Arabidopsis thaliana: one gene and its partner. The protein of the gene in region 2 interacts with the protein of the main gene of each other region in a pairwise test. Each region holds a gene or a part of one and is shown on either strand. Other genes may lie near its edges.

The links.
Region 1: the proteins of UAP56b (region 2) and CSP3 interact in a two-hybrid assay, tested with the Arabidopsis thaliana proteins (one study listed by BioGRID).

Annotation. Positions count from the first base shown.
Region 1 is NC_003071.7:7,762,636-7,767,219, forward strand, and holds CSP3 (cold shock domain protein 3), read right to left. Parts: upstream 2,642-4,584; 5' UTR 2,547-2,641; coding exon 1,641-2,546; 3' UTR 893-1,640; downstream 1-892. Other genes in the region: AT2G17860 (Pathogenesis-related thaumatin superfamily protein), read right to left, coding at 1-383; AT2G17880 (Chaperone DnaJ-domain superfamily protein), read right to left, coding at 4,541-4,584.
Region 2 is NC_003076.8:3,565,047-3,571,791, forward strand, and holds UAP56b (DEAD/DEAH box RNA helicase family protein), read left to right. Parts: upstream 1-2,128; 5' UTR 2,129-2,206; intron 2,207-2,323; 5' UTR 2,324-2,342; coding exon 2,343-2,455; intron 2,456-2,672; coding exon 2,673-2,773; intron 2,774-3,231; coding exon 3,232-3,404; intron 3,405-3,507; coding exon 3,508-3,739; intron 3,740-3,818; coding exon 3,819-3,937; intron 3,938-4,106; coding exon 4,107-4,149; intron 4,150-4,268; coding exon 4,269-4,304; intron 4,305-4,388; coding exon of another isoform or gene 4,389-4,429; coding exon 4,430-4,527; intron 4,528-4,623; coding exon 4,624-4,680; intron 4,681-4,773; coding exon 4,774-4,958; intron 4,959-5,063; coding exon 5,064-5,208; intron 5,209-5,294; coding exon 5,295-5,378; intron 5,379-5,473; coding exon 5,474-5,537; intron 5,538-5,629; coding exon 5,630-5,640; 3' UTR 5,641-5,969; downstream 5,970-6,745. Other genes in the region: SHN2 (Integrase-type DNA-binding superfamily protein), read left to right, coding at 1-9, 516-1,005; GLR2.5 (glutamate receptor 2.5), read right to left, coding at 6,185-6,622. UniProt on the Arabidopsis thaliana protein: ATP-dependent RNA helicase involved in pre-mRNA splicing. Required for the export of mRNA out of the nucleus. In addition to ssRNA and dsRNA, binds dsDNA, but not ssDNA.

The sequences.
Region 1 (4,584 bases), on a different chromosome or scaffold from region 2:
TCGTAGAAATCTAGATTTTCGGCGCCGTTGAGTGTGAATTCGGCTAGTGTAGCTGGAGGGATTGCTCCTGCGCCAGAGCATTCGATTTGGGATGAGCCGCAGTCGCCGGTGACGCAAGTGAATATTCCGGTGATTTCGTTTTGGTTGCAGAGCGTGCGTCCCCATATGCGGCCGGACCAAGCGGCGGGTATGGAGATGAGTCGTGACTCAAAGGAGTTGAGGGAGAAACCAGTGGTGGGTAATGGAGCGGTGCCGGCGCCGGAGAGAAGTCCCGGCCAGACGGTGTAGTTACACTGGTTAACGATGGTGAACGTGGTGGAGGAACCACCATTGATGAAAAACATAATCGCTAAGAGAAAGCAAGAGACTTTAGCCAAATCCATTGTTACCGTTTGATGTTGTATGATTCAGGAGAAGTTAGGGATCGTGTTTATATAAGAGAATCGGGGATTTGTGTTATGGAAAGTTTCATAATATCAATTTTCCCTATATGAGTTTTGCCATTACAGAATCCGATACATGTTCACTCATCATTTCCTTTATTTCAATATTCTCATTAATACTTGTGAAATGGAAATTACGAATCAAGCTAGTATACTTGTTATCCTTTTCGAAAATTATACATTTTTTTTTTATAACTATTTGTTGAGGATCTCTTCCTAAATTCAAAACTAGAAATTTAGATAAAGGTTAGAGGAGGAAAAAGCTCTCTTTTGTTTGTTAAGGAAAAAGTTATTTAGTTTAAAGACTTTGATAGGAAAGAGACATGTATGGTGTTGTGTAGTAAGTTAATTGTACTGGAATTGGTGGGATTTTGTATTAACGGAAATAAAGGAGGTGTTGGACATTAGAAGCTTGTCTTTGTATATGTTAAGAAAGATCAAGTCACTTCCAATAACAGAACACGTGGGATCCAAATGTTTATATCCGAAAGATTCAGCTAATCACAAGTGTAATTAGGTTAAAAAAAACTAACGGGATTAACTTCATCATCTTCTTAAAACATCACGGTAAGTAGAGAAAAAGAAACCACGAACTGACGAACAGGCATAGGCACTACAAGATCACGCACACCATGTCTCTCCTCTGTTCAGGAGATTCTCCTAAAACAAGATCTAAGTAATCTAAAATATCAAAAGATTATTCTTAAGCTAATATCTCTGTTTCATCAAGAACAAGAAAAACAGCAATGCAGAGTATAAGTAAACCAGTTACAGGAAAATCTTTAAGCTCTCCAACAAAGAGGAACCAAGAAAGACTTGTGACTCATCTCTTTGTATTTACAAGTTAGTAAAAAAAAGTCTCAAATCTTGGTATATAACAGAAGTGACCATAACAGATTGAATTTTCAAGTCATACAATCACACTCATTGCAAGGAAAGACAAGAAACTGTAAATAAGCAAGCACACATATCATTCAAGATCTCAAACTTATGGCATCAACAAAAGCAGTGAACAGGTTGCATAAACCAGTCAAAAGAGTAATATAGAGAGATCAAAAACTCCCAAAACAACCATTCTTAAACATCCTAAACGACTTTAGCAATCACATTATAGTCACCAAAAAGGAGCATTAGGTAGATTTTAATAGAAAACAAAAGAGGTTTATGAACATTACTCTTCTTCTTTGCATCTTTTTGTTAAGCAACCGAAGTACATTCCCTCGCAAAGTGACCTTCCTTGCCGCAGATGAAGCACTTGTTACTGCCACCGCCACCTCCGCTGCTTCCACTTCCTCTCCGATCACAGTCACGAGCCAAATGGCCAGTTCCTCCACATTCGTAACAAGCACGACCACCACCACCACCACCAGAAGGTATCTTGCTGGTGCAAACTTTCGCAATGTGGCCAACTCCGCCACAGGTATAACAAGTGCTTCCACCACCTCCAACGTTTCCACCGCCGTTTTGCCTACAATCCCTAGCGAAATGTCCCACACCACCACACATGTAGCATCCATCACCGCCAGATCCACGACCACCACCTCCTCCGTATCTGTTTCCACCAGAACCACCACGACAATCCTTTGCCAAATGACCAACCTCACCGCAACTGTAACACGGACGACCACCTCCTCCTCCTCCGCCGCTGTTTCCACCACCGCTTTGCCTACAATCCCTAGCGAAGTGTCCCACATCACCACACATGTAACATTCACCTTCGCCGCCAGATCTACGACCACCACCACCTCCAAAGCTTTTCCCACCACTTCCACCGTCACAATCCTTAGCCATATGACCAACCTCACCGCAATTAAAACAATTACCTCCGGATCCACGGGAGCTGTTTTCCTTCTTATTAAGTGAACCGCCGCCGGGAGCAGTAACTTCAATGGCCTTAGTCTTTCCGTCGCTTCCAAGCGCGATTTCGTATTCAACCGATTCACCAAGAGTCAAGCTACGGAATCCATCGGAGACAATTGAGGATTGATGAACAAAAAGCTCTTCGCCGCCATCATCGGGAGTAATGAAACCGTAGCCTTTTCCATCGCTAAACCAACTAACTTTTCCGATAGATCTCGCCGCCGATTGATCTTCCATCGCCATTAGATCAGAGAAAAAGGTTAACAAAAACTCGAAGCACTTTGTTCGTACAAAGAGAGGAAATGGGTAAAATGAAAACCCTAAATTGCTACTTGCTAGATCTATTAACCCCAAATTGACCTTAAATTCGCCACGTCAGCTCCTTCTCTATCGGCGGCAGTTACCACGTGTGCATTTTGGATCAGGCCCATGGTTCACATAATGAAATGGGCCTATTTATGTAAGAGTTTCAAAAGAACTAAGCAAAATTGATAAGGTTTGATTTCACACTAACTTTAAAAAAAATGCTTGAGATGTTTTATCATCTCTTAACCATCCCCAAACTCTGGGAATTGGATGAAAATGCAGTCTATAATTATCACTTTTTGCAAAAAGAAAGGGATATTCATAGTAAATCTAAAGTAAATATGACATGATTTAGATTATTATGTTATACTTCTACTAGAAGAGAAAGTGTTTCACACTTTTGGTTGTTTTATCTAAACAATATATTATATTTTGATATTATATCTATTTTTATGCAACTTATTTTGCATCCAAATTTTCAATATCCCAGCTCACTTTTTTAATTCAATGAACCAATACATGGATGATATTATCCGAAGTTCAATTGTGAAGAAAAAAATGATTCGATCATATTTTCTTCTAGAAGCAAGAAAAAAAGAACATCCCAATTACTTAAACTAATTATTGGATATCTATCGTCTATTATATATATATATATATTATATATTTTGATAATGTATGGTGTCGAACATCAACAATCTTCTGCTTCCCATTGTTTATGGACAGCATAGCTTTTGTCATGACAATGCTATACTTAAGAAAATGACAAGAGTTCCTTTTTTTATTTATTTTTCTTTTAATGACAATAGTGAATTTATAATTACTTTTTTTTTGTTCACATTTAAAATAGTTATATATATGTGAAAAGAATATGAGTTTTTTTTTGTAAATATTATGAAAGATTCGTGAGATGCAAATGTTCCAGAACATGGCATGTTGAAACAAGAGTGACACATGGATTATGATGACGAGAAGAAAAGAACCTTGTCTGTCGTATTTGCTTAGCTATTTTGGTGGCCCTGGTGAAGGCAATTTAAATTGACTATAATTATTATCATCATAAACGTCATGTTAGTATAACTCTGAAATTCTGAGCAAGAAATTTGACCCAATGTTAACTCTTTGAAATACCGTTATTTATATAACTTTTACCCAAAAAAATTAGAATCATAAAATTAACCCATGCATGCATACCTAGTTGATTGCACAACGTTCAAACTAAAAATGTTTATAACGCCCATAGAAAAAACTCTCAGTAACCCTCCACATACACATATCACATACATCGGAATTCACGATATGCGATTGTAACGTCTCTAAAAATTACTCTTTTCACAGTCGCGTGACAGGAAAAAATTCACTGCCACCAAGGCAAACAACGTTATCGAACTTTCGATAGACTAAGACCATGAATGGTAACATAGACCACACCCAAAACCGCACCGCAACAGTATTAAAATCTTTACATATATATGTATTTATGTATTTTTGTTACTATTTGACATAGATCTTCTTTTCTTTTATTGTCGATGTCGGCTGATTGTGCGACTAGAAAAAAAACACTCCCAGCTTTTTAAATTAGGTGACTACAACATAATACAACTAAAATTTTCTAAGAATGCTATATGATTTCAGTATGTAAATCTTACCTGTAACAAAAAAAATCTGTTTCTCCAAGGCTACATACTATTGATTGCTAAGTTGGAACACTTTAAGTTATACATAAATTTTTATTTTCTTTATTAGATGGTAAATACTAAATACAGACTACTTACTACTTATGGATACAAAGGCTAAAAACGCGACAGATCCTACGTGGCACGATAAACCGTGTTGATCCTACGTGGCACAACCACCCAGAATCTCTGGGTTTGCTCTAATTACAACCAATTCAATGGTTTTGGACCAACTCGACACATCGAGTCAACTCGCTACCAGCACTGATCGGTTTCCCAATTCCGTCCACCGTAACTGC
Region 2 (6,745 bases):
TCCTCTATTGTAAGTAATTGGCTCTCTATATACATATATGATCTCCATTGTTTACTGTTTTCCTGCTTAGGATTACATATTATATAATGTTGTAGTTGCTTTTCTCATATGAAGCTACTATCTTTATTCTTTAGTATATTTCATCAAAACTTTATTTGTATATTAAAACAAACGCTCTACTATTGCTTAACAATCTACAAAATATTAAAAGGAATTAAAAGTTAAAACCAACCATGCATGCTAATCAAAGTTAAGTTATCGACTGATTTTCATCTACTTGATTCTTTGATTATTTTTGTAAATTAAATGTGGTAATTTCTAAGGTTAGTTTGGATTTCAGCTCAAAACTTAATTGAAATGTTTACTTGGATTTTGTAACTAATATAAAAATTACTAAAATCCTTTTTTAACGTGAATGTTATATGATACCAAAACGTTAAAAATTATATTTCAAAATTCATATCATCATATGTAGTGTATTTAGTATTTACACGTGTGTGTGATATATTAATCAGGAAGAGAAGAGTGTGGCTTGGAACTTTCGAAACGGCAGAAGCGGCTGCAAGAGCATACGACCAAGCGGCTCTTCTAATGAACGGCCAAAACGCTAAGACCAATTTCCCTGTCGTAAAATCAGAGGAAGGCTCCGATCACGTTAAAGATGTTAACTCTCCGTTGATGTCACCAAAGTCATTATCTGAGCTTTTGAACGCTAAGCTAAGGAAGAGCTGCAAAGACCTAACGCCTTCTTTGACGTGTCTCCGTCTTGATACTGACAGTTCCCACATTGGAGTTTGGCAGAAACGGGCCGGGTCGAAAACAAGTCCGACTTGGGTCATGCGCCTCGAACTTGGGAACGTAGTCAACGAAAGTGCGGTTGACTTAGGGTTGACTACGATGAACAAACAAAACGTTGAGAAAGAAGAAGAAGAAGAAGAAGCTATTATTAGTGATGAGGATCAGTTAGCTATGGAGATGATCGAGGAGTTGCTGAATTGGAGTTGACTTTTGACTTTAACTTGTTGCAAGTCCACAAGGGGTAAGGGTTTTCATTGTTTTCCGGTTTTTAATATTTTTAAAAAGTTTATTATGTGATGGATTTCCTTTATTTATCGATTATACATGTAAGAAAATTGTCAAAAATACATGTAAAAAAATGTAATATATACAGATTTGTATTTTTTTGTGTGATGAAAGTATACATGCTTGTTGTATTGATTGATATAAAAGATTGTTCGATTTAAGTATTCTCTTGTTTTAATTAATGGGCCTACAATTTTGTTGGTCCTTCAAACACAAACATATATACATATACATTTTTGCAGCCACTTTGTAAAATAAACCTCAAGTTGAGACTTATTTACAGTGGCTGCCACTGGCATTTAATAATTATTTTTGATAATTAGAAAGTAAATCTTCGAATTAAATATTTGACATTTAACTATATTCCCAAAATCTCTCTACATTAACTACACGATTAGTTACTAAAATAAAACTTCCAAAATATTTAACATCATTTAAAAATTACAAAATTATCATTTTTGATATTGCTTTTTTGCATGACTATAACAATTCGATTATACGCATCAACCCACAGAGATATTTGATAGCAATTAATTATTACAAAATTACAAAATATTTAGACAATGATTCATAAACATATCATAAATAAGATCAATATTAATAAAATAAATAGTTTTTTTTACGGGACGGATTGGCGGGACGAGTTTAGCAGGACGTAACTTAATAACAATTGTAAACTATAAAATAAAAATATTTTATAGATAGATACAATTTGCAAACTTTTATATATACTAACTTAAAAAAAAAATATTGTCCCCTGCGGTATAAGACGGGTTAAAAATCTAGTTGTTATTATTAAAGGAAATAAAATATCCTCATAAAACAATTTGTTGTAATCTATCTTTGGGCTAATGTTCTTATCCTACAAGACGAACCCTGACCGTATTCGTCGTAGAAAAAAAATTGCTTCGATCCCATCATTGAGTTCAATAATCGGCGCACAAAGGCCGATTCATAAAAACTCTAGGCCCATTAAAGTAAAGCCCATTCTCAACCCTATCCAGTCTCCCTGTATATATATATTTACGACACCAACCCAGCGTTGATATTTAATTTTCTTCAGTCAGAGATTTCGAAACCCTAGTCGATTTCGAGATCCAACTAACTCTGCTCCTTATCTCAGGTAAAATTCTCGCTCGAGAACTCAATTGCTTATCCAAAGTTCCAACTGAAGATGCTTTCCTACTGAATCTTAGGTTAATGTTTTGGATTTGGAATCTTACCCGAAATTTCTCTGCAGCTTGTTGAATTTGCGAAGTATGGGAGACGCTAGAGACAACGAAGCCTACGAGGAGGAGCTCTTGGACTATGAAGAAGAAGACGAGAAGGTCCCAGATTCTGGAAACAAAGTTAACGGCGAAGCTGTGAAAAAGTGAGTTTTATGGTTTCCTCGATATGTTTCATGTATACTACTGTGTGTTTAAATTTGTCGATTCTTAGATTACTACTTGATAACAAGTAGCAGTATGTGTTTAATTAGTTGCTTAACATATAACAATTGACTGAGTTCTTCATTGCTATAATTCCTGAAACCCACCCAATATTAGACTGTCGTGTGTTTCTCATATTGTATTTTCTCTTTGTGACAGAGGGTACGTGGGAATACACAGTTCTGGATTCAGAGACTTCCTTTTGAAACCGGAGCTTCTCAGAGCTATTGTTGACTCAGGATTTGAACATCCATCTGAAGGTAATTACCAATAAAAATTCAATTTTGTTGCCTTTCACCATTCTATTACTGAATCTGAATGATATGGTAGAATTTACAGAAGTTTCTTCTCCATAAGCTTTTTAGGTGTCCGGAGACTTTTAATTATATGTACTTCGTCTAGTTTTGAGAAGATATGTTGGTTTAAGATATTTTACTTTATCTGGGTCCCTTGCTTATCACCTAACTAAGTCCAAAATCCAAAAGTTTTGTGTTGATTATAAGGTTAAATTCTTCTTTAGTTTCCTGTAATAATTTTTTTTAGTTTTCTGTCTATTAACGTTTCACTGATTACTTTTTCCAGGTAATAAACGCTAATTTCGATCTATTGATTTGGAGTGAGCTTAACATGTGCTAAAGCCACCAATTTAAAAGATATGGAGGTTATCATCTACTTATAAAGGGTTTCTTCGGTGCTATTTTCTTTGGTTCTCCACCAGTGCAACACGAATGTATCCCTCAAGCTATCTTGGGTATGGATGTTATCTGCCAAGCAAAGTCTGGTATGGGGAAGACTGCTGTGTTTGTCCTGTCTACTCTACAACAGATTGAACCATCTCCTGGCCAGGTTTCTGCACTTGTCTTGTGCCATACAAGAGAGCTAGCTTACCAGGTATGACCTTCTTGTTTCACTCAGGTTCTTGGCTTATAGTCGTGTTTTACGTCTTCAAGTTCTCTAATGCTTACTATGCCTTGATGCTGAAAATTACTTGCAGATCTGCAATGAGTTTGTGCGATTCAGTACCTATCTGCCTGATACAAAAGTTTCGGTGTTCTATGGTGGAGTCAACATTAAAATTCACAAAGACTTGCTGAAGAATGAATGTCCTCACATTGTTGTTGGTACCCCTGGTCGAGTGCTTGCACTTGCCAGGGAGAAAGATCTCTCTTTGAAGAATGTGAGGCATTTTATTCTTGATGAGTGTGATAAAATGCTCGAGTCACTTGGTATGCTGATTTCTGACATCATTATTACATCGATCCCTGAATAATTTTATGTTTTAACACTTCAACTTGTCTTTACCAGACATGCGAAGGGATGTGCAGGAGATTTTCAAGATGACTCCTCATGACAAACAAGTAATGATGTTCTCAGCAACGCTCAGCAAAGAGATACGCCCAGTCTGCAAGAAGTTTATGCAAGATGTAATGTTCCATGGCCAATTCTCTCTCCCTTTGCAAGTCTTCTAGTTTTCATCTATTTTTAGCCTTCTATGGGTGATCATAGCATTATTTGAGCATCTTCTGCGGTTCTGCCCTTGAAAAGCTGAAACTGATCTCTGGATGGGTCTCAATCCAATAATGCTTTGGGTAGTTTCTAGAGAACGAGACTGTGAGTGTGAGACTCTTTAGCTTTGGTATGGTTTCTATCGGTGATCATAGCATTATTTGAGCATCTTCTGTTGTTCTGCCCTGGAAAAGTTGCAACTGATCTCTGGAAGGATCTCAACCTAATAATGCTTTGGGTAGTTTGTAGGGGTTGAGAACTCTGAGTGGAGACTCTGTAGCTTTGGTATGATTGAGTGACCGTTGCACAACAGGATTTCCTTTCATCTTAACCTTTTATTCAGTTTCAATTTCTTTGAAAATCTAGCAGTGGTGGGTGGGTTTTGGGTCGGGGTACTGTGTTTTCCCAAGGTTTCATCGTGCTCGTATGGGTCTCAATGTTCCGAGCAATATTGATGTTTCATAGCAAAACTCACATCTTTGAAGAGAAAAGGTGGACGAGGATCTCAGTTCAGGGGATCTCCATCCATCTTCACTTTTGTAGTGTAAATCATTTCCTGAGGAAAGCTAGCTAATACTTCTTACCTGGTATCTGTTCCTTTCAGCCAATGGAAATATATGTTGATGATGAAGCCAAGTTGACTCTTCATGGACTTGTCCAGGTACGTTTAACTGGTTTGAGGTCTTCGTATTCAATGTAAATATATGTTGTTGTTTGATACTTAAGTGACCTTTTTTCTGTTCTACTGTAACAGCACTACATCAAACTGAGCGAGATGGAGAAAAATCGCAAGTTGAATGACCTTCTTGATGCGTTGGACTTCAATCAAGTTGTCATTTTTGTGAAGAGCGTGAGCAGGGCTGCGGAGCTGAACAAGTTACTGGTGGAATGCAATTTCCCCTCAATATGCATACACTCTGGCATGTCTCAAGAAGAGAGGTTTGTACATTCTCTTAAAAATTCAATGTTTCTGAAGGACCCTACCTGCTCTTAAAGCCCTCATGGAGAGTCCAATTCTTAAGCCTAATACGATATGTTATGTAGGTTGACTCGATACAAAAGTTTCAAGGAAGGGCACAAGAGGATCCTTGTGGCGACTGACTTGGTAGGAAGAGGGATTGACATAGAGCGTGTCAACATTGTTATCAACTATGACATGCCAGATTCTGCGGATACCTATCTTCATAGGGTAAGTATATAATCCTGAGATTTATTATTTGATCGTTGATGAAAGGGCTCTTGTAACTTTACCGTTTTGCTGTGTGTATGGGATAGGTTGGGAGAGCTGGTAGATTTGGAACCAAGGGTCTTGCAATCACATTTGTTGCATCTGCTTCAGATTCAGAGGTCCTTAATCAGGTATGGTGTTTGATCTTTTAATAAATTCCATGGAAAAAGTCCCCATGATATTGAGTTGGGTATTTAGTAAAGTGGCAAGTATAAATGTTGGACAGGTTCAAGAGAGGTTTGAGGTCGATATAAAGGAGCTTCCTGAGCAGATTGATACATCGACTTACAGTAAGTTTTAAATCCCATTACTAAATGTGAAAAAGGCTGGTTTTGTCTGGTATTGATATTAACTTAGTTTCTTCTTCGTATTCTTTGCTCAGTGCCGTCTTAAACAAGTAGCATCATCTCTGAGGAACGAACCTCTTCAGATTTCAACCTTTTAGGTGTTCAAAGGGGTCATGGAGGTCCACAACTATCTCTCACACCGTTTGTTGCTTCGCTATTTTAGACTTTTCTATGAGGACAAGTTTTTCCATATATTTAGACCGTTTTGTAACTCTTGAAAAATGAGATTGAGCTACTCTCCAAATCGCGCACAGTTGAGAGCTCTCCTGTTTTTTGTACTAGTGATGGTTATCTTTAAAATATTAAGATTTCAGGATTTATTCTTTGGCTTGATCATTGATTAAATGTTCCTAGTGAATTGATCTAGTTTGATGCAAAGCGAATATTATTGAATGTTGATAAGAATCCTGAACGTAAATACCGTCTTTTATGCTGACCAATGAACAAATATTTCATGTAATAGTAGTAGGTAAGATTTAAGTTTGCATCAGTCTATCTTAGATACATTTAAACATATTTGAGAAAAGGATTCCTTAAATATTATGATTATGCAATCTAAACAGTGAAAGAAATCTAGAGTTTAGGTTTGACTATGCTGACTTTAGCCTTGATAGTGGCGCAACTCTTCTAATGGGTATAGTGTTTGAGGTCAGTTTCTTACGACGGACCAAAGCTGTGTCGACTTCCACAATATGATCTCCAACATTACCTTCTTCATTGACTTCTTCTTGAGCTGCATTGGCTTGATCATTTGGTAGATTGGGTGAAGCATTGTGTTGTCTCTCTTGGTATCCTCTAGAAGCCAACATGAGTAAGAGTAGAATCACAGAAACAACAAAGACGATCAGAAATAGAGCTTCAAAGCTGTGGTGGTCGAGCTGGATTGGAGAATCTGATGTAGTCGAGTCCAGACAATGTTTTTCTCCAAGGAACCACTTGTTCTCTATAGCTTTCATGGCATCTCCCTCTGTTATGTTCAAGATCTGTCTTGAAATATCTGACACCAATGGAGATCCTAGTGGAAATGCCTGCAAAAATCATTGAGATTTAGTATCACTTCTGAATGGTGCCAGTGTAGAAAGCTGCTTTTAGTTCATCGTTCACAAGTTTGGTGCGTACAGGCCAAAACGTTTGAATGTTAGCTAAAAGTG